Linked DNA regions of Anolis sagrei. Each later gene encodes a partner of the first gene's protein in a complex. Links are inferred from orthologs where the notes say so. Each region holds a gene or a part of one and is shown in the gene's direction. Other genes may lie near its edges. The genes, in order: ITGAV, TGFB1, ITGB6 and ITGB8.

The links.
Region 2: the proteins of ITGAV (region 1) and TGFB1 are in contact, whole or in part, in a crystal structure (PDB 5FFO), measured with the Homo sapiens proteins. The link is inferred for Anolis sagrei from reciprocal best matches to the Homo sapiens genes ITGAV and TGFB1. Residues at the interface, in NP_002201.2 of Homo sapiens: Asp178, Asp180, Phe207, Tyr208, Gln210, Ala245, Asp248; in NP_000651.3 of Homo sapiens: Gly242, Arg243, Arg244, Gly245.
Region 3: the proteins of ITGAV (region 1) and ITGB6 are in contact, whole or in part, in a crystal structure (PDB 9CZA), measured with the Homo sapiens proteins. The link is inferred for Anolis sagrei from reciprocal best matches to the Homo sapiens genes ITGAV and ITGB6. Residues at the interface, in NP_002201.2 of Homo sapiens: Tyr48, Phe51, Lys72, Trp123, Leu141, His143, Gln150, Glu151, Arg152, Pro154, Asp178, Ala179, Phe184, Gln186, Phe189, Pro204, Tyr208, Trp209, Asp249, Tyr251, Tyr254, Pro274, Arg275, Arg278, Thr279, Met302, Ala303, Tyr305, Phe308, Pro328; in NP_000879.2 of Homo sapiens: Ser183, Pro184, Phe185, Lys187, Thr188, Thr189, Pro190, Ile236, Asp237, Thr238, Pro239, Asp273, Ser274, His275, Phe276, Gly277, Met278, Asp279, Lys281, Leu282, Ala283, Gly284, Val286, Pro288, Glu308, Thr311, Ile312, Gly313, Gln314, Ile316.
Region 4: the proteins of ITGAV (region 1) and ITGB8 are in contact, whole or in part, in a cryo-EM structure (PDB 8TCF), measured with the Homo sapiens proteins. The link is inferred for Anolis sagrei from reciprocal best matches to the Homo sapiens genes ITGAV and ITGB8. Residues at the interface, in NP_002201.2 of Homo sapiens: Tyr48, Phe51, Trp123, Leu141, His143, Gln150, Glu151, Arg152, Pro154, Phe184, Gln186, Phe189, Pro204, Trp209, Asp249, Tyr251, Tyr254, Arg275, Arg278, Thr279, Gln301, Met302, Ala303, Tyr305, Phe308, Pro328, Leu329, Met331, Ser335, Asp336; in NP_002205.1 of Homo sapiens: Ser197, Pro198, Ile202, His203, Pro204, Arg206, Ile250, Asp251, Thr252, Pro253, Thr287, Ser288, His289, Leu290, Ala291, Leu292, Asp293, Lys295, Leu296, Gly298, Val300, Pro302, Glu321, Ser324, Leu325, Gly326, Gln327, Glu330, His349, Trp350.

The regions. Positions count from the first base shown.
Region 1 is NC_090021.1:185,344,979-185,352,694, reverse strand, and holds the start of ITGAV (integrin alpha-V), read left to right. Parts: upstream 1-4,629; 5' UTR 4,630-4,718; coding exon 4,719-4,882; intron 4,883-7,716.
Region 2 is NC_090034.1:98,784,338-98,791,443, reverse strand, and holds the start of TGFB1 (transforming growth factor beta-1 proprotein), read left to right. Parts: upstream 1-4,061; 5' UTR 4,062-4,835; coding exon 4,836-5,262; intron 5,263-7,106. UniProt on the Homo sapiens protein: Transforming growth factor beta-1 proprotein: Precursor of the Latency-associated peptide (LAP) and Transforming growth factor beta-1 (TGF-beta-1) chains, which constitute the regulatory and active subunit of TGF-beta-1, respectively.
Region 3 is NC_090021.1:200,287,987-200,296,110, forward strand, and holds the start of ITGB6 (integrin beta-6), read left to right. Parts: upstream 1-5,105; 5' UTR 5,106-5,523; intron 5,524-8,124. UniProt on the Homo sapiens protein: Integrin alpha-V:beta-6 (ITGAV:ITGB6) is a receptor for fibronectin and cytotactin. It recognizes the sequence R-G-D in its ligands. Internalization of integrin alpha-V/beta-6 via clathrin-mediated endocytosis promotes carcinoma cell invasion.
Region 4 is NC_090026.1:94,433,794-94,440,921, reverse strand, and holds the start of ITGB8 (integrin beta-8), read left to right. Parts: upstream 1-3,999; 5' UTR 4,000-4,583; coding exon 4,584-4,710; intron 4,711-7,128. UniProt on the Homo sapiens protein: Integrin alpha-V:beta-8 (ITGAV:ITGB8) is a receptor for fibronectin. It recognizes the sequence R-G-D in its ligands.

The DNA.
Region 1 (7,716 bases):
TCATACCAAATTCATTAAATTTGTACTTTCGATGCAATATCTGACGTGCTGGCACAGCCTGTGCTAAAAACTAAAGAATCAAAACTTACCAAATACTTTTTAAATTTTCATTTTGTAAATCTTGGAAGCCTTCCAAAGTCAGTTTCTGTTTCAGCACAAGGAAGCAAAGCAAAGCCAAAAAGGCTGCCTTTCCTCTTTAAATTAATGGCATCTCGCCATTAGGAGGGGGAAGCAGCAGTGATAAAGCAGAGTTTGCTGGGAAAGACTGAGAATTCAAAAGGCCCTGCCTAAACTACATTTCCCAGAATTCTGCTCAGCATCAGTAAGCCCCAATCAGGATAGGGGAGAAATGTGTCCCTCCCTCCATAGCAGCAGCCAGACAGAGTTCCAATGAATGGCTGAATCTGCAAAGAGGAGGACTGACTAATACTTCTAGTAAGTAAATCTCTGCTGGACTGGGAAGAAATCCCTAAATGGAAGTTCTATTGTTAATATGGGAGACATTTAATGAGCTAGCTATTGTGGCTTTTTAAAAAAGCACGTTTTTGTCAACATTTTTTTAAAAATCCCTAAAATTAGTAGATGTATGAATATTTCTGAAAGTTGCGGTGGGAGATGATCCCCCATTATTTTGTGACATTGTAGAGAAAATTCAAGGAGATAGCTCTTCTAGTTTTTAAAATGCTGTTTATAAAACTTTGAAATTTCCCCAAAAATCCATGGATAAGTGAAACGTTCTGAAACCTGATAGGCTAAAAGTGGTAAATGTGTTTTAGCATTATAGCAAGTTTCACCCGAACAGGTGTAAAAATGAGAGAAAGAAGCCCATGAGGTTTCCCCATTTGCGCAAATATATAATGAAAAATTAATGAATTTCCTTTTTTCTCATTATAGTAATGACATTTTCAGTAACAACACTTTAGAAACACTTTAGAAGCAAAATGCTAGTGGCCCTAGTTTTTTAATTACTTTTGAAACATCGATCACACAGCCCTAGTGGCTACACCCTGAAGATGTCTAGACTGCCCAAGTCCTTTCATGGGCAGCAACTGGAATGACTTCAGCTTCCCTGAGAACATGACTAAACTGCGTGGAGACTGTGTGGGAGGCAAGGAGCTGACTCATCAAAACAGGGGCTTTCATGCATTCAGCTGCTTCCAACATAGATAAAAAACAATAAGGGTGAAAAGGAAGCACATTCAATGAAAACACTCCTGCCCACACAAAAATGTGGGTTGCAGGTAATTCATCAGATCGACTCAGTAATAATTAATCCCTGTGTTTCCCTCTATGTTTTCACTAACATTTGAACAAACATGGCACTTGAAGATCTTTTTGTTTTAGACCTATGGTGACCCTATCACAGGGTTTCCTTGTTCAGAAGAGGGTGGCTTTCTACTTCCTCTGAGGCTGAGAGAGTGTGACTGACTAGTCCAAATTCACCCGTTGGGTTTCATAGCTGAGCCATCCCCCAAGAAAATTCCAAAAAGCAAATCTTGATTTTGCCATTTTATACAGTGAATAATATTTTACTACAGAATTAGATATATGGGCAGCCCCCACGTTATAAACATCCAACTAACAAATAGGAAGTGAGAGAAATCGTGGATTTTGGGTATCCTGATCTGTCTCCTGAATCCTTGGAATCCTGAAACCTTGAATCTTTGGACTGGCTTTTGACTACGGTATAGACTCTTGATCCCTGGACTTTGCTCATTGAACTCTCGGCCTTTGACTACGGTGTAGTGTTTGCTATCAGTTTTTGTTTTGTATTCTGCGGCTTAGTGTTATCTTTGTGTTATATTTTGTACTATTAAAACAGCCAGAAAGTGCTGTTTTAATTAAAATGTTTAACACAAACTGGGTATTTGTTTGGTTCATCTCTGCCTAAAGAACGACAATGACTTTTGAATCATATTTTTATGGATCACACATCCCTACTGTAGTATGAATGCAGTTGGACCTCACTTGAATTGCCAGGGTTCAATACAGAAAATCCTGGTATGTGTAGTTTGACAAGTCTACCCAGGTACTCATATGGGGATGTCAGCTCCAGCTCCTGCCAACCTAGCAGTTTGAAAACATGCAGATGTGAGTAGATCAATAGGTACTGCTCCGGAGGGAAGGTAACGGTGCTCCGACACCAACACCAAAATACAACACCGCCTGAGCTCTGTGAGTGCAGCATTTTCCCGAATGAAGCAGAGAGTGTTTGAGGACCGAGACATCCGTAGGGATACCAAGGTGCTTGTCTACAAAGCTATTGTCCTCCCAACCCTGCTCTATGCCTGCGAAACGCGGACTGTCTACAGACGTCACATGCAACTCCTGGAATGATTCCATCAGCGCCGCCTCCGGAAAATCCTGCCAATCTCTTGGGAAGACAAGCGGACAAACGTCAGCATGCTGGAAGAAGCAAAGACCACCAGCATTGAAGCGATGGTCCTCTGCCATCGACTCCGCTGGGTCGGCCACGTTGTTCGGATGCCTGACCACCACCTTCCACAGCAGTTGCTCTATTCTGAACTTAAGAACGGAAAACGAAATGTTGGAGGACAGGAAATGAGATTCAAAGGTGGGCTCAAAGCCAACCTTAAAAACTCTGGCATAGACACTGAGAACTGGGAAGCCCTGGCCCTTGAGTGCTCCAGCTGGAGGTCAGCTGTGACCAGCAGTGCTAAAGAATTCAAGAAGGCACGAGTGGAGGGCGAAAGAGGGCGAAAGAGGGCGAAAGAGAGAAACGTGCCAGGAGGAAGGTGCATCAAGCTAACCCCAACTGGGACCACCTTCCACCTGGAAACCAATGCCCTTACTGTGGGAGAAGATGCCGGTTAAGAATAGGGCTCCACAGCCACCTACGAACCCACAAGGAAACGCATAATGGAAGCCCATCTTACTCGTCCAACGAGGGATCGCCTAAGTAAGTAAGTAACGGTGCTCCATGCAGTCATGCTGGCCAGATTTCCTTGGAGGTGTCTACGGACAACGCCTGCTCTTCGGCTTTAGAAGAGATGAGCACCACCCTGCACAGTTGGACACAACTAGACTTAGTGTCAAGGGGAAATCCTTTACTTTTACCTTAAAGAAGGACACGTGGATGGAAGTATGCAGTGGGCATCCAGTTTAAAAGCTTCCAAGGAAGAAGCCTCTACCACACTCGGGGCAGAGAGTTCCACTGCTGAACAGCTCTCACAGTCAGAAAGTTCCTCCTAATGTTCAGATGGAATCTCCTTTCTTGTAATTTGAAGCATTTTTCCATTGCGTCCTAGTCTCCAGGGCAGCCGAAAACAAGCTTGCTCCCTCCACCCTATGATTTCCTCTCATGTATTTCTACATTGCTATCTTGTCTCCTCTCAGCCTTCTCTTCTGAACACTAAACATGCCCAGCTCTTTAAGCCACTCCTCATAGGGATTATTCTCTAGCCCCTTCATCATTTTAGTCGCTTTCCTCTGAACACATTCCAGGTTGTCAATATCTCCCTTCAATTGTGATGCCGAGAATTGGACACAGTATTTCAGGTGTGGTCTAACCAAGGCAGAATACATCAGACTGGCAACAAAGATCCGCCTAGTCAAAGCCATGGTATTCCCTGTAGTAACCTACGGATGTGAGAGCTGGATCTTAGGGAAGGCTGAGCGAAGGAAGATCGATGCTTTTGAACTGTGGTGTTGGAGGAAAGTGCTGAGAGTGCCTTGGACTGCGAGAAGATCCAACCAGTCATCCTCCAGGAAATAAAGCCCGGCTGCTCACTGGAGGGAAGGATAGTAGAGACAAAGTTGAAGTACTTTGGCCACATCATGAGGAGACAGCAAAGCCTAGAGAAGACAATTATGCTGGGGAAAGTGGAAGGCAAAAGGAAGTGGGGCCGACCAAGGGCAAGATGGATGGATGGCATCCTTGAAGTCACTGGACTGACCTTGAAGGAGCTGGGGGTGGTGACGGCCAACAGGGAGCTCTGGTGTGGGCTGGTCCATGAGGTCACGGAAGAGTTGGAGACGACTGAACGAATGAACAACAACATCATGTCTCTTCTCAGCCTTCTCTTCTGCAGGCTAAACATGCCCAGCTCTTTAAGCCGCTCCTCATAGGGCTTGTTCTCCAGACCCTTGATCATTTTAGTCGCCCTCCTCTGGACACATTCCACCTTGTGAACATCTCTCTTCAGTTGTGGTGCCCAGAATTGGACACAATATTCCAGGTGTGGTCTAACCAAGGCAGAATAGAGGGGTGGCATGACTTCCCTGGATCTAGACACTAGTCTCCTATTGATGCAGGAATCCTAGAAGTTGCAGTAAAATGAGGCAACAGAGAAGGCGAAAGACGCCCATAAGTATTGAGCCAGGCTGTGAAAGAAGAGCATGAATGTAACAGTGGGTGCAATGGGGCGCCAAAGAGTGGCAGATTCGCCTCTGGAACTTTGGGCCAGAGGGGGAAGCCACGCCCCCTTTGGAAGCCACGCCCCCTTTGGACCAGCCTCCTCCTCCTCTCCCTCCCTTCAGCGCGGAGTCGCAGCTCTAGGAACAAAACAAAAAGCAAGTCTCATCCTCGCCGCGGATTGGTCGCCAGGGCTGGGGAGCGCTCTTTCTCTCTCTCTCTCCCTCAGTCCCTGGCGGTGATTATTCCTCCTCCTCCCGTTCCTCCTCCTCCGGCCTGGCGGGTTGGCGAGGCGACTTTGGGCCACTTTCCGCGTCTTCCTCTGGGCTGCTGCCTGCGCGCCATGGCCGGCCTCCCTTGGCTCCCTCTCCTCCTCCTCCTCCTCTTCTCGGCTTTGCCGCCCGGCCGGCCTTTCAACCTGGACGTGGAAAGCCCCGCCGTTTACTCCGGAGCGGAAGGCAGCTACTTCGGCTTCGCCGTGGATTTCTTCGCCCCGGATCGCGCCTCGTAAGTAGCGCTTCCAGAGCCCGTCCGCACTGGAGGCTTGCTGCGGTTTCACGCCGCTTGGGACTGCCATGGCTCAAGACTAAGGGAGTTGCATTCGTCATTGCATAAAGTCTTAAAAGAGTGGGTGGCTGTGAGTTTTCCAGACTGTCTGGCTGTGTTCCAGAAGCATTCTCTCCTGACGTTTTGCCCACATCTATGGCAGGCATCCTCAGAGGTTGTGAGGTCTGTTGGAAACTAAGAAATTTGGGTTTAGGTATCTGGGGAATAATGTCCAGGGAGGGAGAAAGAACTCTTGTAATTGATCACCTTGATTAGCATTGAATGGCCTTGCAGCTTCAAAGACTGGCTGCTTCCTGCCTGGGGGAATTCTTTGACTTAAAAGAGTGCATTCTTTCCTGACATTTCGCCTACATCTATGGCAGGCTTCCTTAGAGCCTGTGAGGTCTGTTGGAAACTAGGAAAATTGGGTTTATATATCTGTGGAATAATGTCCAGGGTGGAAGAAAGAACTCTTGTCTGCTTGAGGCAAGTGTGAAGGCTGCAATTGATCACCTTGATTAGCATTTAATGGCCTTGCAGCTTTAATGCCTGTCTGACTGCTGCCTGGGGGAATCCTTTGTTAGGAGGTATTAGCTGGCCCTGATTGATTCCTGCCTAGAATTCCCCTACTTTTTGAGTCTTGCTCTTTATTTACTGTTCTAGTTTTAGAATTTGTGTTGTCGAAGGCTTTCATGGCTTTTCACTGGGTTGCTGTGAGTTTTCTAGGCTGTCTGGCCATGTTCCAGAAGCATTCTCTCCTGACATTTCGCCCACATCTATGAAGTTGGTAGCTCTTTTGGAAACTAGGCAAGTGGGGTTTATATATCTGTGGAATAATGTCCACTGTGGGAGAATGAACTCTTGTCTGCTTGAGGCAAATGTGGAGGCTGTAATTGATCACCTTGATTAACATTTAATGGCCTTGCAGCTTCAAAGCCAAGCTGCTTCCTGCCTGGGGGAATGGCATACTCTCCTGACATTTTCCCTGTATCTATCGCAGGCATCCTCAAGAGGTTGAGAGATCTGCTGGTGTCTCTCCAGACGGCATTCTCTCCTGACATTTCGCCTGTATCTATGGCAGGCATCCTCAGAGGTTGTGAGGTCTGTTGGAAAATGAGAAGTATAGATCTGTGGAATAATGTCCAGGGTGGAAGAAAGAACTCTTGTCTGCTTCAGGCAAGAGTAAATGTTGCAATTAGCCACCTTGATTAGCACTGAATGGCTTTGCAGCCTCAAAGACTGGCTGCTTCCTGCCTGGGGAAATCCTTTGTCATACAAGAGTGCTGGTGTCTTGCCAGACGTACAGATTCCAGGATTACATTGCAGTTAAAGTGGTGCCAAACTGCATTCATTCCACAGTGTAGACGCATCCATATTAGAGGCTTTAAACGGTCCAGTTTCTTTCTTTTTTTTTCAGTTTTGGTGATGGGATGTTGGACCCAAGGCAAGTTTCACGGGAGGGAAGAAATTGGAAAGCTCACCTCCATTCTGAGAGTTTGGAAGGAAGGAAGGAAGGAGAGGAGGAGGGAGCCTCCTTAAAATAAATGAATGGAGTTCAGTGTGAGTCTGGAAGAAGGGATTGGGGATGAAACACAAAGCCTCCCTTAAGAAAGAAGGCACAAAAAGTAGGTTGCTGTGACTTTTCCAGGCTATATGGCCATGTTCTAGAAGCATTCTCTCCTGACATTTTGTCCACATCTATGGCAGGCATCCTCAGAGATTGTGAGGTCTGTTGGAAACTAGGCTTTGAAGCTGCAAGGCCATTCAGTGCTAATCAAGGTGACTAATGGCAACATCCACATGTGCCTCCATCTGACAAGAGTTCTTTATCCTACCCTGGACATTATTCCATAGATATATAAACCCCACTTGCCTAGTTTCCAACAGACCACACAATCTCTGAGGATGCTTGCCATAGATGTGGGTGAAATGTCAGGAGAGAATGCTTCTGGAACATGGCCAGACAGCCTGGAAGATTCACAGCAACCTAGTGATTCCGGCCATGAAAGCCTTTGAGAACACAAAGCACAAAAAAGCCCTGCCGTTAGGGTGCATCAGTTTGACACCACTTTAACTTCTCTGGCTTCATTCTATGGAATCCTGGGATTTGTAGTTTGTCAAGGTCTTTAACCATCTCTGTCAGATAATGCTGGTGTCTCACCAAACTACAAACTCCTTATGAAGAGAAAATGCAGGGTAAAGTAAAGATTTCCCCTTGACATTGAAGTTAAGCCATATCTGACTCTGGGGGGTGATGCTCATTTCCATTTCTAAGCCAAAGAGCCGGTGTTGTCCGTAGATGACTCCAAGGTCATGTGGCCAGCATGGCTGCATGGAGCATTGTTACCTTCCCGTCCGAGCGGTACCTATTAATCTACTCATATTTGCATGATTTCGAACTGCTAGGTTGGCAGAAGCTGGGGCTAACAGCAGGAGCTCATCCTGCTCCCTGGATTCGAACCACCAACCTTTTAGTCGGCAAGTTCAGCAGCTCAGCAGTTTAACCCACTGCGCTACTGGGGGCTCAAAGAGGTATAGATGATGATGATGATGATGATAATACAAACCCTAGGAAGCATTGAGCCAAAGCAGTTTAAGTGATGTCAAACTACATCCATTATACTGTAGATAAGATATAATTCAAAGGTATTTGCTGGGATTTGCTTTGAACTGACATTCATAGGATCACGAAAGTGAGCAGGCAACTTGAAGGCACATACATACTCAAGGCTAAGGTCTTAATTTCAGTGTCCCTTTCCATTCTTTCCCACTGAAAGGAAGCCAGATTGCTTTTA
Region 2 (7,106 bases), on another chromosome or scaffold:
ATTTTCCATTCCTATCAGTCATCATTGTCCTTTATTTATCTGCCAGATTGCCCAAACGCCTGGTCCCAAATCCATGTTTTTAATTTCCTTCTAAAGGAAAGGAGGGATGACGATGATCTAATTTCCCCAGGGAGTGAATTCCATAGGTGAGGGGCCACCACCGAGAAGGCCCTGCTCTTTGTCCCCGCCAATCTCACTTGTGATGAAGGCGGGGCTTGAGTCCCCCCCCCCCAAAGGAGACTCAGAGCGGCTTACAAGATATATATGCATACAATATATTAAGTTAGTAGCATAGTACAATATCAGTATTAAATATTACTATATTGTACTATACCATTATATTGTAATATTATTGGTAATATTACATGTAATATAAATATATAATTATAATATCATATTATTGTTATTGTTAGTAGTAGTAGTATTATATTGCATTACATTATAATATTATAAATATTTTATGGACAACACTGGCTTAGAAATGGAGATAAGCACCACTCCCCAGAGTCGAAAATGACTTGGCTTAATGTATTGTCGAAGGCTTTCATGGCCGGAATCACTGGGTTGTTGTAGGTTTTTTCAGGCTATATAGCCGTGTTCTAGAGGCATTTTCTCCTGACATTTCGCCTGCATCTATGGCAAACATCCTCAGAGGCAGTGAGGTCTTTTGGAACTAGGAAAGTGGGTTTATGTATCTGTGGAATGACCACGGTGGGGCAAAGAACTCTTATCTGTTGGAGCTAGGTGTGAATGTTTCAACTGACCACCTTGATTAGCATTTTATGGTCTGGCAGTGCCTGGGGCAATCTTTTGTTGAGAGGTGATTAGATGTGCCTGATTGTTTCCCCTCTGTTGTTTTGCTGTTGTAATTTTAGGGTTTTTTTTAGTACTGGTAGCCAGATTTTGTTCATTTTCATGGTTTCCTCCTTCCTGTTGAAATTGCCCACATGCTTGTGGATAGACTTAATGTCAGGGGAAACCTATACCTTTACTTCACCTTGGATGTTGCTTGGTTTTTACCTGTGAAATGTTAGATATATAACCAGCACACATTCTTATTTCTATATCAGTGTTTCTCAACTTGGAGGTCAGGACACCTGGGTGGGTCACGAGGGGTTTTCAGAGGGGTAACCAAAGACCATCAGAAAACACAGTATTTTCTGTTGGTCATGAGGGTTCTATGTGAGATGTTTTGCCCAATTTTATCATTGGTGGGGTTCAGAATGCTCTTTGATTGTAGGTGAACTATAAATCCCAGCCACTACAACTCCCAAATGTCAATGCCTGTTTTCCCCAAACTCCACCAGTGTTCACATTTGGGCATATTGAGTATCTGTGCCAAGTTTGGTCCAGATCCATCATTGTTCGAGTCCACAGTTGTAGGTGAACTACAACTCCAACTCCAAAACTCAAGGTCAATGCCCACCAAACCCTTTCAGTATTTTCTTTTGGTCATGGGAGTTCTATGTGCCAATTTTGGTTTAATTCCATCATTGCTGGAGTCCAAAATGTTATTTGACTGTAGGTGAACTATACATCCCAAATGACAAAATCAATCCCCCCCCCAAGCCTACCTGTATTCAAATTTGGGCATATTGTGTATTTGTGCCAAATTTGGTCCAATGAATAAAATGCATCCTGATATCAGATATTTACATTACAATGCATAACAATAGAAAAATTAGAGTTATGAAGTGGCAACATAATAATTTTATGGTTGGGGGTCCCCATAGCATAAGGAACTGTGCCATTAGGAAGGTTGAGAACCACTGATCTATATGATGTTGTAATTGCTTAGAATGGAATAGCATTTGGATATTTCTTTTGACCAAGGGTTTGTGAGACAGCAGTGAATGGGTCCTTGTTCTCTTAATGTCAGCTACTATCTGCAGAATATGGCCTAGCTTGACCAACTTCAGGCCATGTGTTTTGAATACACAAATACTATTCAGAATGGATCAGGAATAATAGTGATAGCGATGTATAGAGAGTCTGGGTGATATTGCACTTTTGAGTGGGAGATCTAGGGTGAAGGCAAAGGAAAACCCACTCAAAACACATCTTGCCAAGAAAACCCATAAGTCAGAAATGACTTGAAAGTATATGACAACGAAAGTATTAAAATGAGTGTGGTGTATTTTCAGGAAATGCAACTTGTAGGAAAAAACCCCACCTGGGTCCTCATTGTGACATGACCACAACAAAGCCATATCATGTGAGCTCAGGAAACATTCCCCCGGGGCTACTGACATGAGTCATGGGCAGAGGCGAAACTTGAATCCAGGCCTTCCAGCCTGAAGGTATTTCCCTTGACTTGAAGCAGGCGTTATCTAGTCCAGGAGCCCCTTCCTCAGCTGCCTGAGCACAGAAGCTGCCGCCGAGTTAGAAGAGCCACTGAAAGCGTTATCTAATCTCCTGTAATAAAAAAGATCCTTCTCAAAGCGAAAGCAGAGGCTGCGCCTGAGTTTGGCCCATCGCTTCTGCCTTGCGCTGAATCATTTTTTAAACAAAAGAGAAAGCAAAGAAGAGGAAGAGAGAAAAGTGAAGAGAAGAGTCAAGAAGACTTCCTAAGAGATAGTTCAGCAAAAAGGTAAAGAGAGATGAACAGAGCTGGAGAGGCTATGCATCGAAGAGAAGATGAAAGAAAGAGAAAAATCAAGCAAGCAAGCAAGATCTCTTGTGGGGAAATAGTTGGCTCAGCAATGAGGTGAAGAAAGGTGAATGGAGAGAGGAGGATATGGAAGGAAAAGAGAGAGAAAGAAAGAAAAGGAAGGAAGGAAAGAAGGAAGGGAAACACTTGAGGAAGAAGATCAGTTCTGAGAGAAAGAAAAAGGATGAATAGATGGATGGATGGATGGATGGATGGATGGATGGATGGAAGGAAGGAAGGAAGGAAAGAAAGAAAGAAAGAAAGAAAGGGAGAAGATTGGTTCTGAGAGAAACAAAAGGAAAGGAAAGGAAGGAAGGAAAACACTTGAGGGAGAAGACTGGTTCTGAGAGAAAGAAAAGGAAGGAAGGAAGGAAGGAAGGAAGGAAGGAAGGAAGGAAGGAAGGAAGGAAGGAAGGGATACTTGAGGGAGAAGATTGGTTCTGCGAGAAAGAAAAGAAAGGGAGGGAGGAAGAAAGGAAAAACAGTTGAGAGAGAAAATTGGTTCTGAGAGAAAGAAAAGGAAGGAAGGAAGAAAGGAAGGAAGGAAGGAAGGAAGGAAGGGATACTTGAGGGAGAAGATTGGTTCTGCGAGAAAGAAAAGAAAGGGAGGGAGGAAGAAAGGAAAAACAGTTGAGAGAGAAAATTGGTTCTGAGAGAAAGAAAAGGAAGGAAGGAAGAAAGGAAGGAAGGAAGGAAGGAAGGAAGGAAGGGATACTTGAGGGAGAAGATTGGTACTAAGAGAAAGAAAAGGAAGCAAGGAAGGATGGAAAGAAAGAACACTTAAGGGAGATGATTGGTACTAAGAGAAAGAAAAGGAAGGAAAGAAGGAAGACTTGAGGGAGAAGTGATTCTGAGAGAGCAAAGGAAAGAAGGAAGGAAGGACAGAAGGAAAGAAAGAACACTTGAGGGAGACAATTGGTTTGAGAGAGAAAAGGAAGGAAGGGAGGGAGGAAGGGAGGGAGGAAGGAAGAAAGAAAGACTTGAGGGAGAAGACTGGTTCATCATTGAGATGAATAAAGAGCAATAGACAGATGGAGGGACTATGCAGGGAAAAGAAGATGAGTGAATGAGAGAGAGAGAGAGAAAACAAAGAAAAAGACTTGCAAGTAGATAGTTCAGTAATTAGATAAAGAAAAATGAATGAAGAAATTGAGAGGCTGTGCAGAGGAAAGAAGACAACAGTGAGAGAAAGGGAATGAAAGAAACAAAAAGGAAAGAGAAACAAAACTTTCAGAGATATGGTTGATTCAACAATGAGGTGAGTAAAGATGTATGGAGAGATGGAGAGGCTGTGCAAGGAAAAGAAGGTAAGAGAAGAAAGAAAGAAAGAAAGAAAGAAAGAAAGAAAGAAAGAAAGGATAGGCAGGAAGAGCAGGCAGAAAGACAGGCCAGAGCCTTGCTGCTTTTGCCAGAGTCTCCCCTGGTGAAGAAGTTATATACAGCCCTGCTGACTCCCTCCTTCATTTCCTGGGTGGAGCTGGCGCTGGGGAGAGGAGAAAAAAACCCGCTTTAAAAACCTCCAAGCCCTCAGTCAGCAAGTCCCAACAGGAGTGGTAAAATTACAGCCTTTCCTGCCGAGGAAGAAAGAAGAGCCAGCTGGCTCTGGGGAGCGAAGAAGCGGCAGGAGGCAACAGCAGCAAAGCCAGAGCACAGCCGCCTGGAGGAACCTCCCGAATCTTGACCCTGGATTTGGCCCCAGTCCCCAAAGCAAGTGTGGTGCCTCATTCCTGGGAACTCAGGGCACCTCTTGTCTTGGGTAAAGCTGGAGCCCCTTGACTGGCTAAGAAAAGATCCTTTCTTGACTCAAACCAGAGAGACAAGGTGTGTTGGCCTTCTCTGGGAGATGGACATTTGGGCTGCGGCCGTGGTCTGGTGCCAAGGGTGAACCTGGGTACATCTAGCAGCCGGACACATGGACAGCCGAGGTGCCAAGGTGAGTTTCCTGTCACCTTTGAGAAAGTGCCACCCTGGATGGTTGATCCACTCCAAGTAGGAAGAAACTCTAGTGAGAAAAGAAAACTAGGATATATTTTGAAGGACTTCATGGCAAGTGGCACATTGGTAGGAAACAAGGTTCTTCTTCAGATGACAGAGGCTTAAAAAGAAGTGAGTAAACGTCAAGCAAAGTTTTGTTTTCTTTTTTCTCTTTGCCTTTTTGGGGGCCGAGCTAAAGAGCAGAAGTGAGATGGTGGGAGGAAGCATGAGGCAGTTGGTGCCAAGAGGCTGCGGCTGGCAGAGCGATGCCCGACGTGCCCCAGGGGCCCTTGGCATGCATCGGCGGGCCGTGGGCTGGCTTTTCCTCCTGCTCCTGGCCTTGGAGCACTTTTGCTCCGCTTTGGCCTTCTCCACCTGCAAAACCCTGGACATGGACATGATGAAGCGCAAGCGCATCGAAGCCATCCGAGGCCAGATCCTCAGCAAGCTCAAGCTCTCCAGCCCACCAGAGGTGGAAGACCCAGACTCCAGGGTCTTGTCCGATGAGATCATGGCGCTCTACAACAGCACCTTGGAGGTGATCCGGGAGCAGGTGGTCGAAGACCCCAAGGAGACATCTCAGGAGGAGTATTACGCCAAGGAGATCCACAGGTTCAACATGCTGCCTCTAAACCACGGTGAGGCCTGGGCTGGGGCTGGGAGGAGAGGAAGTGGGGTCCATGCGTTACAGAAGACCTAGTAGTAGTTATTTGCTGATCTTTCTCTCCGGTGGCAGGAAATGGACACATTTTGCTAGGCTTCCACATTCGGAGAGATTGGAAAAGGTACTTTAGGACTACAAAACCCACACTTGGCTCTGACAGTTGTGTGGACTTTATGGGGTTGTAATCCAAAAAGTAATATCCAGAAAGCAACACCTTTCTGGATAGGAGGGCATAAACTATTTAGTTTTTGAAGCTCAGGAGGATTGGGTTAAAAAGTTAATAAAGTATTCCCAGGTCAGGCTACTAGAAGATGTCATGGACCTCAGGTCATTGGACCTCAGCACACCTCATATTTTGAGCTGGAATAGAGTAATTAAACTGTGATACATGGGCTGGAAAAGACACTTGTTGTGACCTTAAGTGAAAAACTTTCTGGTGTTTCCTAAGTTTCTTGGCCTTGTTTATTTTCCCCATCTGTAAAATGGGAACATTGACTCTTAGGGATTTGCAAGGGATGGAAGTCGAAAGGCAGTGCCTGTTATCTGCACGATGGAAAGTTTCAGATATTTTCTTTGTAAACATTGGGAAAGCAATAGATACAGCCGAGGACAGTGAGGTGGAGAAGGAAAAGCAATGTGGGGTTACCTTGTTTCTTTGTTACCTACTAACACAAACTGAAGTTAGGGAAAACAAACTAGCCCGAACACTTATATTGGGTGATTTTATGCTTTATCCTAGTACATGGATGTTTATTTAGAATCATAGCATCATAGAGTTGGAAGAGACCTCATGGGCTATCTAGTACAACCCCTTTCTGCCAAGAAGCAGAAAAACAAATTCTAAGTCTAAATGCTCTAAAGTAGTGTTTCTCAACCTGGGAGTTGGGACTGCTGAAGGGGTCGCAAGGGGGTGTCAGAGGGGCCACCTAAGATCATCAGAAAACACAGTATTTTCTGTTGGTCATGGGGGTTCTGTGTGGAAAGTTTGGCCCAATCCTATCGTTGGTGGAGTTCACAATACTCTTTGATTCTAAGTGAACTATAAATCCCAACAGCTACAACTCCCAGATGTCAAGGTCTATTTTGTCGAAACTCCACCAGTGTTCACATTGGGGCATATTGAGTATTCGTGCCAAGTTTGGTCCAGATCCATCATTGTTCTAGTCCTCAGTGCTCTTTGGGTGTAGGTGAACTCAAGATCGATGAATACTAGATGGGTTGGGGAGGGGATTGATTTTGTTCACCTACACCCAAAACTCAAGATCGATGCCCATCAAACTCTTCCAATGTTTTCTGTTGGTCATGAGAGTTCTGTGTGCCAAGTTTGGTTCAATCCCATCATTAGTGGAGTGCAGAATGCTCTTTGATTGTAGGTGAATTATGAATCCCAGCAACTACAACTCCCAAATGACAAAATCAACCGACCCCCCCCCCCAAAAAAAAAAACTCCACCAGTATTCAAATATAGGTGTACTGGGTATTTGTGCCAAATTTTGTCCAGTGATCTGTGTGCCAAGTTCGGTCAATTCCATCAATGTCAGAGTTCAGAATGCTCAGGTTGTAAGTGAACTATAAGTCCCAGCAACTACAACTCCCAAATGACAAAATTAACCCCCCCCCCCAACCCTATGGGGTATTTGTGCCAAATTTGGTTCAGTGAATGAAAATCCATCTTGCATATCAGATATTTACATGATGAATCATAACAGGAGCAAAATGACAGTTGTGAAGTGGCAACAAAAATAATGTTATGGTTGGGGGTCGCCACCAAATGAGGAACTGTATTAAGGGGTCGCGGCATTAGGAAGTTTTGAGAAA
Region 3 (8,124 bases), about 15 Mb from region 1:
TTGATAGAACCAATTGGGAAATAACATTCATAACCCAGGAATAAAATTTTGTTACAGAGTGTAATTTATGAAAGGGAAGATAATCCATATACTTCAACTGTTCCAACATGGTAGGGACACTTCTAATTAATCTTCTTTTCAGCTTCTTTTAAGATTTCATAATTTCTTTCCACCTTCCCTCTTTGCTTCATTTGCTACAAATGGAGACCCAAGTGCAAAGCGCTCAGCCCTGTAGACTCAGGCAAGAACAAACTGCTGTATATTCTTCCTCATTAATAATTTTATCATCGTGACCACACTCTGATGATGTTTAGACACACATGCCCCAGTTTTTATCTGTGAAACACTGGAGGATATGTGGTCCTGAACTTATTCCCTCATATGTGACCTCTGAGATTCTACCTCCAAGGAATACAGCCTTCGGCAGAGAGTGGAGGACAGAGGATTTCAGGGAGGCTTTAAGTTAATGTATGTCGAGTGTAATGTTGTCTAGAGGGCTTTATCAGCTTAAAATAGGCACATCTGCCTTAAAGCATTATGATTGTAGAAAATATGATCAGCCTTGTATTTGACAGGAGCTAAACATCCATATTTGATCAGGTTCCAGGACTGAATTACATTAATATTACAGTGCACAGGTCTTAAGGGATGCATAGGTTTGTACATAAAGAGATCAGGTGTGCCTTTCTATGAAGTTTTATATTTTATGAGGATATGATGATTTTCAAAAATCATTGTAGCATCAGAAGATACAGGAGACACAGTGGCACAATGGGTTAAACCCTTGTGCTGACCTGGAGACATGAATCCACGAGATGTGAGCTCCCATCTGTCAGCCTCAGCTACCCATGCAGGGACATGAGAGAAGCCTCCCACAGGATGGTAACACATCCAGCCGTCCCCTGAGCAACATCCTTGCAGATGGCCAATTCTCTCACACCAAAAGCAACTTGCCAGAGGAAAAGTGTTCTTGCCATACATCAAGGGAACCACTGACTGCATAGGGAAGCTGATAAGGAAACACAACATACAAACCACCTACAGACCTACCAAGAAAATCTAACAAATGCTACTTTCAGCAAAGGACAAGAGGGATCCTCTCACCTCTGCAGGAGTCTACCGTATTCCATGCAGCTGTGGACAAGTCTACATAGGGACCACCAAACGCAGCATTGCCCAGACACGCATCAAGGAACATGAAAGGCACTGCAGACTACTTCAACCAGAGAAGTCAGCCATAGCAGAGCACCTGATGAACCAACCTGGACACAGCATATTATTTGAGAACACAGAAATGCTGGACCATGCTAACAAACACCATGTCAGACTACACAGAGAAGCCATTGAAATCCACAAGCATGTGGACAATTTCAACAGAAAGGAAGAAACCATGAAAATGAACAAAATCTGGCTACCAGTATTAAAAAAAACTTACAAATTACAACAGCAAAACAACAGAGAGTAAACAATTAGGCACATCAAATCACCTCTCAACAAAAGATTCCCTCAGGCACTTCCAAGCCATTAAATGCTAATCAAGGTGGTCAGTTGAAACATTCACACCTAGCTCCAGCAGACAAAAGTCCTTTGTCCCACCCTGGTCATTCCACAGATATATAAACCCATTTTCCTACTTCCAACAGACCTCACTACCTCTGAGGATGCTTGCCATAGATGCAGGCGAAATGTCAGGAAAAAATGCCTCTAGAACATGGCCATATAGCCCGGAAAAACCTACAACAACCCAACTTGCCTCAGTTTGCTTCTGACACAAAAAAAGAATAAGAAGATACAAAGCTTTCTAGAAAGGCAGACGTCATCTCCTACATCAGAATGATTCCACAACACAAAGTGATGGAAAGTAATAAAACTATCACTCAGATATATGGGCAATGCCAGACATGAGCCCTGAGGCCAAATAGACCCTGCAGTAGTGGCTGAAGTTTGATTTATTTTTACAACAACATCCAGAATCCCCAGCCAGCACAGCAGCTTGATAACTCCGTTAGAATGGTGTAATAGGACACCTTTTCTTGTCCGCAATTCAGATGTTAAACACATTAGGTTTGTGCACTCATGGAAAAGTCAAATGGTCCTTTCACACCACACTGCTATAGCACTTTACCATCAAATCTGAAAGCATGCAATTTAGGGAAGATCATTTAGAATTCACAGCCAGGATGCTCTTCCCCAGATTTGTATAAGTTGCCATCATTATAATGTAAGTGGAACCTTAGTACTATATCTGTATAGGGTGAAATAACCCAAAGAAACTATATTACATATGAAAATATGGCAAGGAAGAAAAATTCTTAGGTTAGAGGAATAAACTATTATAATCACATGTCATGAAAGTATGCTAAAATGTGCTTACAATTTTCACTGGCACTTACAATGAATTTTGGGTAACAATGTATTTTAAAAATAGATTCTACATTTTATACTCTACCTTGTTCTCCCATCCATGAAATGTCTCTCACACCCAAAAATAAAAAATAAAATATTTCCTGTTATCCTATGTAGAAGGTTCACAGCTGCTGTCTCCTCATTTGATGACTTTTGAAGTGGGTTGTAGGTTTTTGAAGTAGGTTTTTTCGGGCCGTTTGGCCATGTTCGAGAGGCATTCTCTCCTGACGCTTCGCCTGCCTGTATGGCAAGCATCCTCAGAGGTAGTGAGGTCTGTTGGAACTAGGAAAATGGGTTTATATATCTGTGGAAAGACCAGGGTGGGACAAAGGTCTCTTGTCTGCTGGAGCTAAGTGTGAATGTTTCAACTGACCACCTTGATTAGCATTTGTCCCACCCTGGTCTTTCCACAGATATATAAACCCATTTTCCTAGTTCCAACAGACCTCACTACCTCTGAGGATGCTTGCCATAGATGCAGGTGAAACGTCAGGAGAGAATGCCTCTAGAACATGGCCATATTGCCCGAAAAAACCTACAACAACCCAGTGATTCCTGTCATGAAAGCCTTTTGAAGTACTAGTGTGTTGGAAATAATTGTATTCGTACCACATGTGGTCAAAGAACACACTAGTTCCCCTGATATATGCATTTTTGTAGGCAAATGAAGCTGAGAATTGAATTTTCAAATCCAAAGTAGAATGCCATCAGAAGGATAACTCTGTTCCAATATGTGAAGGCGTGAAATGGATGGCAGGTGTGAAATAGATCACAGGAGAAATATGCAAGTAGAATTTTCCTTCATCTCTGTCAACTCTAGTAACAAAACACAAACGAAAACCACAGTGCTGGTTGTGTTTGAAACTCTTATTCAGAAACTATATCACCAGTTGAGAGATTGGAGATGTTTCCTTTTTTGAAGTATAGTTCCAAGAATCCCCAAACCAGCAGGAGATTCAGGGTGCATCAATACTCGAACGAATGCAGTTTGACACCACTAACAATCATGGCTCGGTGCTATGGAAGCATGAAAGCCGTATTTTGACAAAGTTTTCAGCCTTCTCTGCTTCAGAATGCTGTTCCCTCACCAAATCATTAATCACAGAATTCAAACTGCATTCATTCTATATAGTAAAGATGCACCCATAGTTCAAAATGCCTACAGTGACTGTCCTAAATTCTGTACTTGTGTAACCAAACCTTCATTTGCCCAGAGCAAGGATGCACTCTTCAATTTGTGTATTTCTTTATTATGGATTTCTTATATGAAGCAAGCAGTTATAGCCTTTATCATCAAAACTGAAAGTCAGACTACAACTAACCCCCCGCCCCCAAATATCTATCTGATACTACCACTAAGAAACTGTAACAGATTATTCTGTTCTGCTTTGGTCAGATCTCATCTAGAGTACTGTGTCCAGTTTTGGATTCTGGGCACCAGAATACAAAAAGGACATTGACAAAGTAGAATGTGTCCAGAGAAAGACAAACAAAATGATCATAGGTTTAGAAACAAAAGCCTATGAAGAATGACTGAAGGAGCTGAGTATGTTAAGCTTGGCAAAAAGAAGGCCGAGAGAGGACATAATAGCCATCTGAAAATATGTCACGTTGAAACGGGCAAGCTTGTTTTCTGCTGCTCTGGAGACAAGGACATGGAACAATGGATTGACAAAATGCATTGTTTTCTGCATTCAAACTGCAGAAAAAGACATTATACCTAAACATTAGGAAGAACTTTCTTACAATAAGAGCTTTTGAGGAGCGTGTTGGAATCTCCTTCTTGAAAGGCTCTTAAGCAGAGGCTGGATGGCCATCTGTCAGGGGTGCTTTGATTGTGTTCCTGCATGACAGAATGGAGTTGAACTGGATGACACTTCCAACTCTAAGATTCTATGATGTCCTCCTCCCAATGATTTGCTCCCTCCTCCCTATGACTTCCTCTCACATATTTATACATGACTATATCAGAAGAGAAGGTTGAGAGGAGACATGATAAGGGCTATGTATAAATAATATGTGAAGGGAAGTCATAGGGAGGAGGGAGCAAACTTGTTTTCTGCTGACCTGGAGACTAGGACACGGAACAATGGCTTCAAACTACAGGAAATGAAATTCTACCTGAACACGAAGAAGAACTTCCTATGAGAGCTGTTCAGCAGTGGAACTCTCTGCCCCAGAGTGTCGTAGAGGCTCCTTCTTTGGAGGCTTTTAAGCAGAGGCTGGGTAGCCATCTGTCAGGGGTGCTTTGAATGCGATTTTCCTGCTTCTTGGCAGAGGGTTGGACTCAATGGCCCACAAGGTCTCTTTCAACTCTATGATGCTATAACTCTATGATTGTATGAAAGAAAGCTAATGCCAAAATCTGCAGCACAAAATGAGCAACACTGTTCTGAGTTTATTCTGGAGTCCCCAAGAGCAAGAAGGAATAGACATTGCAGTTTGAAAGGAAGGGGTTTATCCACAGGCTGTTGGAAACTCATCCAACAGGAATCTTTCCATCAATATCACAACAAAGCTATCTTTCCATACTTGCCTACAAAAACAGAAGCATTTTCTTTGCCCAGGTCATCTCAGTCAGTTAGGTATGGCCTTAAGTATACTTGCGTATTACCGCCAGGCATCTCTTATGCCCAGCCGAACAGTCTTTGTTTACTATGAGTTTGAATGTATTCGCCTAACACAAAGATTCTCTCGCTGACTCCCACCACTTCTCCTGCGTAAGCAATATATTGGCATAGCTTTGCCATTTGTCAGCCAGCAGTCTGTGAACACATTTGCTCGTCAATCTAAATTTAACCTTTTCTCACACAAGCACTTGTAAATCAACCAGGCATTCTGTCATTCAGTAGTCCTAGGTCTTCGTGTTGGTTTCTTTATTGTGAAAAAAAATCTTCCAACTTCATGCGCTTTCTAAAGCACACCCTGTGTAGCCGGCAGCGAGGAAATTAAATGGGATCTCTCATACTTCAAGACTGCGAATAGAAGAATGCGGGGAATCTAAGCCACAGATAAATGATCTACCCTACCAAAATAAACCCTACCACTCACTGGATCATGGATGCAGTGGATGCATTTCGGCACTTTCCAAAACGAAAGTCCTGCCCACCCTGAAAGGTAAGTGCTTTTATAAAGTGCCCTGCTAACTAATCCTCAGCACAGGTACACCTTCTTCTTGTTGCTTTGTGGGTTTTTTTCCCCTTGCGGGTCACCAGGGATGAATCCATCAATGTATTTATACGCAAGCCTATTTTGGTTTATTTTGATCCAGTGAACATTCTTTGCATAACTGATGTGAAAGGATGATTGGCCTATTTATTTTGGCAGAACCAAAGTCACTGCTAATACGTTTTTCTTCTTTTGAGCCATTAATGCCATTTTACCTGGTATATTACAGCTGAGGAATTGCATGTGCCTTCCGTGAATGACTGCCTTCAGATGCTTTTGCTACTGAACAACAAGTAACAGGGTGGATTCAAAGGCTGGAATGGGATGGGGTGCAATTTGGCAATGTCTTCAGTCCTTAATTTCATTTTCCCAATTTGACTTGTTTTTCAGTATCAATGCAAACCTTAGATCTTTGTTCTCATTAATGAACTGTTAAAGGACATTTTGGCACAATTCCAAGACATTTGTTGTATCGAAGTTGCACTGAAATTTCTGAAAAGAAGGTATACTTGAACACTCGGTGATTTCAATGCTTTTGGAGGCAGTTATCCTGTTTTGAAAAGACTTTCAAGTATGCCTGTATTCCTTTCAGCATTGGCTACATTCATTCATTTGAAAACTGCCTTAAGATTGAATTTGAATAATTAATGCATTCAGTCTCATTCAATATCTTAATTTTTCCATAGCCACTACCTTTGCAATACTCTGTAATATAGAAACATACCAAAAGTTTACAATGAAGCACATAAATGTGTTAGTCCCTTTTATTTATGTCAAATAAATGGAAACTCAGCAAGTCAATGCTTATCCAAATTCCATAGAATGAAAGGGTCAACTCTAACTTGAGCAAATAATTTTATTCAGACCATACTTCATACCTCGGAAAGGTTACTTAACAGGCTTACAATAGTTGTACATATTGGAATATGTTGTCTGTATCCAAGACAGTGAACTGGCTATGTGGTATGCAGTGGAGGACAGATGGACACTCCAAAGATAGTGGTGAAGGAGGGTGTTTTGAAATTATTTGGCATGGATGTAGAAATGTGCCTAACCCTAATGTATATCTATTACTTTTACTATTCCAATTTTCCAAGGCGGTTAGGCTGAGGATTACAGAAGAAAACTATGAACTAAATTGTCTAGGGAGGAGAAATGAACTGATTATAGATGAAGTCCCATCCTGTATTCACATCACCTGAAAAACATAGTACTACGAGATGTGTCTTGTTTTAACTTTAATCCATAGAAAAGTCCATGGAGGACCAGGATCTGTGAATTCATCTAAGCACATTTGACAAAATATGTTCTTTCTAGAAATTGTATAGGTCTTCCAGTTGCTTCCATGGTATACTTTTGTAGAAAATTGTCTTTGAGTCACTCTAGAGCAGTGGTTCCCAACCTTTTTTTGACCAGGGACCACTTTAACCAGGGACCACTTTGACCAGGGATCACTTTAACCAGGGACCAATTTGACCAGGAACCACTTGACAAGGGACTACTTTACCAGGGACCACTTTGAGCAGGGACCACTTTGATCAGGGACTACTTGACCAGAGACTACTTGACCAGGGGCCACTTGACCAGGACCACTTTGACCAGGGAGTACTTGACTAAGGACCACTCTCTAACAAAAGGGTTACGAAACAGTTTTTGGTCAGCTTTAGAAACGGTTTGGTTATTTGGGGTGCTGATTCAGAAAATTGCATGTATAGACCACATCAGCTCTAGTTTCTGATACAGAACATATGCCATGGTCAGCGACAGGGAAGGAGTGGCAAGCGCCACAAAAGAAGTGGAAATAAAATAAATAAAACTAAATAAATAAATAAAGAGAAAGGAGGCTCGCGGATCAGATTTCCGTCCTCAAGGCCCACTGGTGGTCCACAGTTAAGAACCACTGCCCTAGAGGATCTAGCAAATTCCTAGAGAGGATACTTCTTTGGAAATTTCCTAGGTTCCCCAGGGTGATTCTATGGTAACTTCCAGTGGGAGTAATTCATTTCAGTGGGGTTTCTGTCATCCATGTTTCTGTTTGCCACTGTAAGTTCAAGAAGACATCCCTCATTAATATGAGGATCCTGTGATATTTTCTGTGAAAAAGGCTCTCAACACAGTATATATACCTCAATCTTACAGTGGCCATCTCATCAGACAGGCTACTTGGCCTGTCATACACCACTTCTTCCTTTTCAGGATGGAACCCATTACATGATATACATGTACTTCTACCTGGGCTCTGTCCACAAAGGGGAAAGCAAGCAGCATATGTGGCTGATGTGGCAACATGGGAACTTTCCCATATTGCCTTTCCAACAATGGGTGGAAGCCGGGTGGCAATGATTCCCCTGTGGGATGGAGTTCCAGGCAAGTTGTTCAATATGGGACATGAAGCGACAGGTTCTCCATGCCTCCCTGCCCCCGGCCAGGAGCCCATGGATTTGCCAGGGGCCTTTGAGCTGAGGTCTTTAGCTTCAACTTATTTAGCTGTTTTAAACGGTTGTACATTCTCTCAGGGACCCTGTTAAACACATAAATGCCTAAAGTAAA
Region 4 (7,128 bases), on another chromosome or scaffold:
CAGACGCAGGCGAAACATCAGGAGAAATGCCTCTAGAACATGGCCCTATAACCCAAAACCCCCCAAAGGAACCTAGTGATTCCAGCCATGAAAGCCTTCGACAATACATGGTTTTGTCCATTATCGGCCTGAGAAAAAATGTTTGAGAAGTGTCAGAAGGAATTCACCAAGCCAGCTACTTTCAAACACTTGTTAGTTGCTTATCTGTTGTGTTGAGATCCAAAGCACAAAGAGGGAGAGCAAAGAAGAATGTGAAACAACCCTAATTCGACCCTTTCAATCCCTTTGTACTGTCTCCAAGTCTTGGAGAGACTCAGGTTTGGTTAAAACTAAGTGCACATCTATATTGGAAGTATTATCCAGCTTGGAACCATTTTGAGGGGAACTGGTTTCACTGTGTGGGTGATTAGATTGACAAGTCTAGAACCGGTTTGAGTTCAAGAAGGTGATTACGTTAATCCTTGAACCTGGCCTCAAACAGCTGTGCAGGTTCTTTTTCCCATTTCCCAGACAGATGCGTTTCAGTGCTCTGAAGGTATTCAGTGCTCTGAAGGGATTAACAACAAGAAAATATGAATTAGCAGCAGAGATTATCCATTTCTCTCCCCCCCCCCCCCCCCCCCCCGGCTGCCCAGCCATTTTCTTGGGATTTTTTTGATAGTTTCTGTTTGGGATTCTTCATTGTGCATTCTGCATTTTGTGGAGTCAATTTGGCTCTGGATCTCTGATATACTGGGGCCAGCAGCAGCACATTATATGGCTTCCATCGGACTTCCTTGTGCCACTTACTGTTTAATCCATGCTGCAGTTCATATTGGTGGTATGGATTTTGTGGCTGCTGCAGCCTGGTGTTGGCTTTGAACTGCACTACAGGCAATCCGTGAGTCACAAACATCCAACTTACAAAGGACCAGGAAGGGAAATTCTCTTCTCTAAGTGTTATCCTGGGAAAAAGGTGCCTCTACTAGAGCTTTATCACCAGTCCTTGTTTCCACAATAACTGAAAACTTTCAAAATTAATTGTCACAGAGATGGAAAGTGTTCAATCTTTTGAACAGGGACAAAGACGGCAAAACAAATTTTACTGGGGTGTTAATCCTTCCTTATGCTATCCAAAACTTAACAAAAATGGTTGAAGTTACACATAAAAATGTACCTGGAGTTCCAAAAAATTTAACTCAACAAACCTATGGTTGGCATAAGAGGGCAAAGAGTGTATGGAGAGGATTATATGGGAGAAGATAACCTGGACTCAAACCATGTGGGATTTTAAAGGTCACAACCAGCATTTTGTGCCTTGTATACATATAAATAGGCAATGAATGATCCATCTTAATATTTATGTAATATGATCACTCCAGATGTGCCAATAACCAATCTAAATGCCATGTTTTAAAGTTTCTAAACTTGGTACAGAGGTCCCCCAATGTACAACACCTCGCAAAAACCCAGCCTTGAGATAACCAGGATGCCAGGGACTTCCAACTCATTTTCATTGAAGGCCACATCAGCCTCATGGTTGCCTTCAAAGGGTCATTGAATCCATGGACAGCGAATTCATGGATATAGAGGGCCAACTATAATTTCTTTAAACATTGGTTGGTGCCCTTTAGTTTTTACCCACTTTGTATCCCCAGACATTATTGAACAACAACTCTGATCAATTTTTGTTATCTACGCTGCAGACTGGGGAGAATGGGAATTGCATCCCAATAGCACTTGTGGCTCTGAGGTTGGGGAAAAGGTCAGGGAAATATTAAAGTCAGATGTCACATCCACAAGCCTTGTATCTAAATTCAAACCTCACTATCTGGACTAAACAGAACTGAAGACTTCCAGATGTTACTGTGTCACAACTCCCATCAGCTGTAGCCATGATGCCTAATGATGATGCACATAAAATGATACGGATGACTGGATTTGGGCTTTGGGCAACAGGTTTGAACAGTGCCAGACTGAGGACAAATGAGGCCCTGTGCTAGTTAAGTTATGAGGCCCCTTATTTTTTGGAAAACTAGAATCTCCATAACCCTTTGGAGAAAAATGGCATTCACAACCATTTGAAAATCATAACCTTTTGTAAAAGTATGATCTTCCAGAGAAGAGCCAAAAAAACTTGTTTGAGTAAAATCTTCTCTTTAGTGGTATATATATCCACATGTACTTATGCAAGGCAATTTGGTTTTCAGTTGTTAGATTGATAACCTGGTGGTAGGATATAAATAAAGTTGTTATTATTATTATTATTATTATTATTATTATTATTATTAGATACATAACAAGATTAGTATACAGCAAACAAGATCACTGTGCTGGCTTTTGTATTTGGTCACAGTGGGCCCCGGGCAAGAGGACCCCGGTCTAGTGGGCCCTGTTCAAGTGGGCAATGGTAATGTGGGTCCTGGTCAAAGTTGGCCCTGGTCAAAGTGGGCCCTGGTCAAGTGTTCCTTGGTCAAAGTGGTCCCTGGTCAATTGGTCCCTGGTCAAAGTGGGCCTTGGTTAAGTGGGCCCTGGTCAACTAGGCCCCAGTCTAGTGGGCCCTGCTCAAAGTGGTCTCTGGTTAAATGGGCCCTGTTCAAGTGGGCAATGGTAATGTGGGCCCTGGTCAAAGTTGGCCCTGGTTAAAGTGGTCCCTGGTCAGCGTGGGCCCTGGTCAAGTATTCCTTGGTCAAAGCGGTCCCTGGTCAAAGTGGGCCCTGGTTAAGTGGGCCCTGGTCAACTAGGCCCTGGTCAAGTGGGCCCCAGTCAAAGTGGACCCTAGTCAAGTGGTCCCTGGTCTAGTGGTCCCTGGTCAAAGTGGTACCTGGTCAACTGAGCCCTAGTCAAAGTAGGCCATGGTCAAGTGGTCCCTGGTCAAAGTGAGCCCTGGTTAAGTGGCCCCTGGTCAACTGGCCCCTGGTCAAGTGGTCCCTGGTCAAAGTGAGCCCTGGTCAAGTGGTCCCTGGTCAAAGTGAGCCCTGGTTAAGTGGCCCCCAGTCAAAGTGAGCCCTGGTTAAGTGGCCCCTGGTCAAAGTGGCCCCTAGTCAAAGTGGCCCCTGGTCAATTGGCCCCTGGTCAAAGTGAGCCCTGGTTAAGTGGTCCCTGGTCAAAGTGGCCCCTGGTCAACTGGCCCCTGGTCAAAGTGGGCCCTGGTCAAGTGGTCCCTGGTCAAAGTGAGCCCTGGTCAAGTGGTCCCTGGTCAAAGTGAGCCCTGGTTAAGTGGCCCCCAGTCAAAGTGAGCCCTGGTTAAGTGGCCCCTGGTCAAAGTGGCCCCTAGTCAAAGTGGCCCCTGGTCAATTGGCCCCTGGTCAAAGTGAGCCCTGGTTAAGTGGTCCCTGGTCAAAGTGGCCCCTGGTCAACTGGCCCCTGGTCAAAGTGGGCCCTGGTCAAGTGGTCCCTGGTCAAAGTGAGCCCTGGTTAAGTGGTCCCTGGTCAATTGGCCCCTGGTCAAAGTGGGCCCTGGTCAAGTGGGCCATGGTCAAAGTGAGCCCTGGTTAAGTGGCCCCCAGTCAAAGTGAGCCCTGGTTAAGTGGCCCCTGGTCAAAGTGGCCCCTGGTCAAGTGGTCCCTGGTCAAGTGGTCCCTGGTCAAAGTGAGCCCTGGTTAAGTGCCCCCTGGTCAAAGTGGTTCCTGGTCAACTGGGCCCTGGTCAAAGTTGCCTCCGGTTAAGTGGGCCCTAGTCAAAAAAAGGGTTGGGTACCACTGCTCTAGTGTGAAGAAGTGGGAAAAACCTCTATGGGGTTGAAATACATGAGAAGATGATGAAGGATGATGAGGAGATTCGGAGGGCGAGCTAAGAAGGCCGTCTTCTCTAGCCTTCAAGGTGCCAGATGCCCGCAGCCCTCTGAAGGGGTCCTTTCTCCTGGCCCTTTCAGAGAAGGGGGACAAGGAGGTCCCGCCGCGCTGGGACAGGAGGCAGCGTGGAGAGGCCAGGGTCTGCCTCTCTGGCGCGGCGGTTGGGCCAGCCACCCCTCCCCTCCCCTCACTCCCCCCAAGCAGACACGCAGGCAGACGCCCCCGGAGCCGCATTCCCTTCGGGAACAATCGCGCCAGCCGCCCAGCAACAGAGCAGAGCCAGCGGCACTCCGGAGCCCGCAAAACAAAGCCAGGGGACTCCTCCCCCTTCGCCCCTTCGCCTTCCCTCCCTCCCCCTCGCCTTCCTTTCCCTCTCTCTCTTTCTCTCTTCGGGAGAGCATCCCCTTCGGAGGGAGCGGGCCAGATCGGGACGGGAAACTCCGCCGAAGCAAGCCGAGCCAGCACCACCACAACAACACAAGACGAAGAAGGAGTCGAAGGGGAGGCGAGGCGAGGGACCGCCTCCTTGCCCCCTCCGCCCGCCTCCGCTGCCTGTCCTTTCTCCGGGCGCCAAGGAGGCACGGGCGCCTTCTTCCTTGTCCCCTCCAGCGGATGGCGCGCCTCGCAGGGAGAGAAGCCCTTCCTGGCCTCGGGGCTGGCGGCTCCCCGGAGGGCTGCCCACGCTGGACCTGACATGCGGAGGCAGTGCCGCTCCTCCTCCTCCTCCTACCTGTGCCTCCGACTCTGCCTGCTCTTCCTCCTCCTGCTGCTGCTCTTCCCGACGGCGCGGACTCGGCCGCTTCTCGGGCCATGTTTCTCCCGCTCCTGTCCGCCTTGTCTCTGGGGCTGGTCTCCCTCCCGCAAGGCCCTCTTTCCAGACCCATCCTGGGCATCGCTCGCCTCCTCACCGCGCTGGCCCCGGCCTGGGGGCAACCAAGTAAGTCTGGCCCTTCAATCCTGCCTCCTTCTTGTTTCCCCTGGAACTCCGAGCATGCACCTGACCCTGCGAGCATCCACGCGGGTTGAACACCACTTGGAACTGCCGGGGCTCCTGAGAGGGTGGACCAGACATGGGCAAACTTCAGCCCTTCAGGTGTTTGGACTTCAACTCCCATAATTCCGGTAGGCTGGGTTGTTGTAGGTTTTTCGGGCTGCATGATCATGTTCTAGAAGCATTCCCTCCTGATGTTTCGCCTGCATCTATGACAAGCATCCTCAGAGGTCCTTACCCAAAACCATCAGAAAACACATTATTTTTTGTTGGGCATAGGGTTTCTGTGTGGGAAGTTTGACCCAGTTGGGGTTCAGGATGCTCTTTGATTGTAGGTGAACTATAAATCCCAGCAACTACAACTCCCAAGTGTAAAGATCTATTTTCCCAACTCCACCAGTGTTCACATTTGGGCATATTGAGTATTTATTAGAGTAGGATCAGAGTAGGATCATAGCCAGAGGGATCACCTACAGCAGGCTTTCTCAACCTAGGGGTCAGGACCCCTGGGGGGTCACAAGGGGGTGTCAGAGGGGTCATGAAAGACCATCAGAAAACACAGTATTTTCTGTTGGTCATGGAGATTCCGTGTGGTAAGTTTGGCCCAATTCTGTCGTTGGTGGGGTTCAAGGGGCTCTAAGTGAACTATAAATCCCAGCAACTGTAGCTCCTAAATGTCAAGGTCTATATGCTCAAACTTCACCATTGTTCACATTTGGGCATATTGGGTATTTATGCCAAGTTTGGTTCAGACCCATCATTGTTTGAGTCCACAGTGCTCTCTGGATGTAGGTGAACTACAACTCCAAAACTCAAGATCAATGCCCACCAAACCCTTCCAATATTTTCTCTTGGTCATAGGAGTTCTGTGTGCCATGTTTGGCTCAATTCCATCATTGGTGGGCTTCAGAATGCTCTTTAATTGTAGGATAACTATAAATCCCAGAGTCTACAGCTCCCAAATGATAAAATCAGGACAGTAAATAAAAAACAACACTCAAAAAACAGGGGAAATCCACACAAATCAATCAGGGCCAGCTAACACCTCCCAACAAATGATCCCCATGCATCAATCAGTGAGGCTTTGAAGCTGCAAGGCCATTAAATGCTAATCAAGGTGTCCAATTTCAACATTCACACTTGCCTCAGGCAGTCAAGAGTTCTTTCTCCCACCCTGGACAACCCACAGATATATAAACCTCACTTGCCTAGTTTCCAACAAACCTCACAACCTCTGAGCATGCCTGCCATTGGTGTGGGTGAAACGTCAGGAGAGAATGCTTCTGGAACATGGTCATGCAGCCCAGAAAACTCAGAGCAACCCAGTGATTCCAGCCATGAAACCTTTGACAACACAAGAACCATTGTCTGTGAAACAAGTGTAAAGAGTGTAATTGTAAAGAGTGCAAGTAACAAGCTAGATTTTAAGTGCCTGACTTGCCAATTGCATCCTTTACACTTGTTTAACATTTGTCCTGAAGATTCCAGCCACATATGCAAGCAAAACGTCAGGAGAAAGGGCTGCTACAAAATGGTCATACAGCCCAGAACCCACACAACACCCCAGTGATTCCAGCCATGAATAGTATTGAATGTTCTTGCAGTTTCAAAGCCTGGCTGCTTCCTGCCTGGGGAATCCTTTGTTGGTGCTGCTAGCTGGCCCTGATTGTTTCATGTCTGCTATCTGAGTGTTGTTGTTTGTTTACTGTCTTGATTTTACAGTTTTTAAATATTGGTAGCCAGATTTTGTTCATTTTCCTGGTTTCCTCTTTTCTGTTGAAATTTGTCAAAGGATTTCCCCAGGCAGGAAGCAGCCAGGCTTTGAAGCCGCAAGACCATTCAATGCTAATCTAGGTAGCCAATTGCAACATTCACACCTGCCTCAAACATACAAGAGTTCTTTCTTCCACCCTGGACATTTCACAAATTATAAACCTCACTTTCCTAGTTTCCAACAGACCTCACAACTTCTGAGGATGCCTGCCATAGATGTGGGCAAAATGTCAGGAGAGAATGCTTCTGGAACATGGGCACACAGCCTGGAAAACTCACAGTAACCCAACTTTGGGTTGAATAACTCCATCATCATACAGGTTTCTTTCCCAGAGATTTTAGAGATCAAAGTTGGGATATTTTGCAAGTGTTTTGTCTGATCTAGAGCTTGAGAAAGTTATTTTGGATCACAACTCCCAGAATCCTCCAGGGGCTATACTGGCTGGAGGATTCTAGAAGTGCGGCCCAACAAGTAACTTTCCAGTTTATGGTCCCACTCTGAAAGAACACTGAGTCAGAACATTGGTCCATCAAAGTCATCATAGTTTCTATAGTCCGTGGCAGCCACTTTTCAGGGTTGTCTACAGGTTT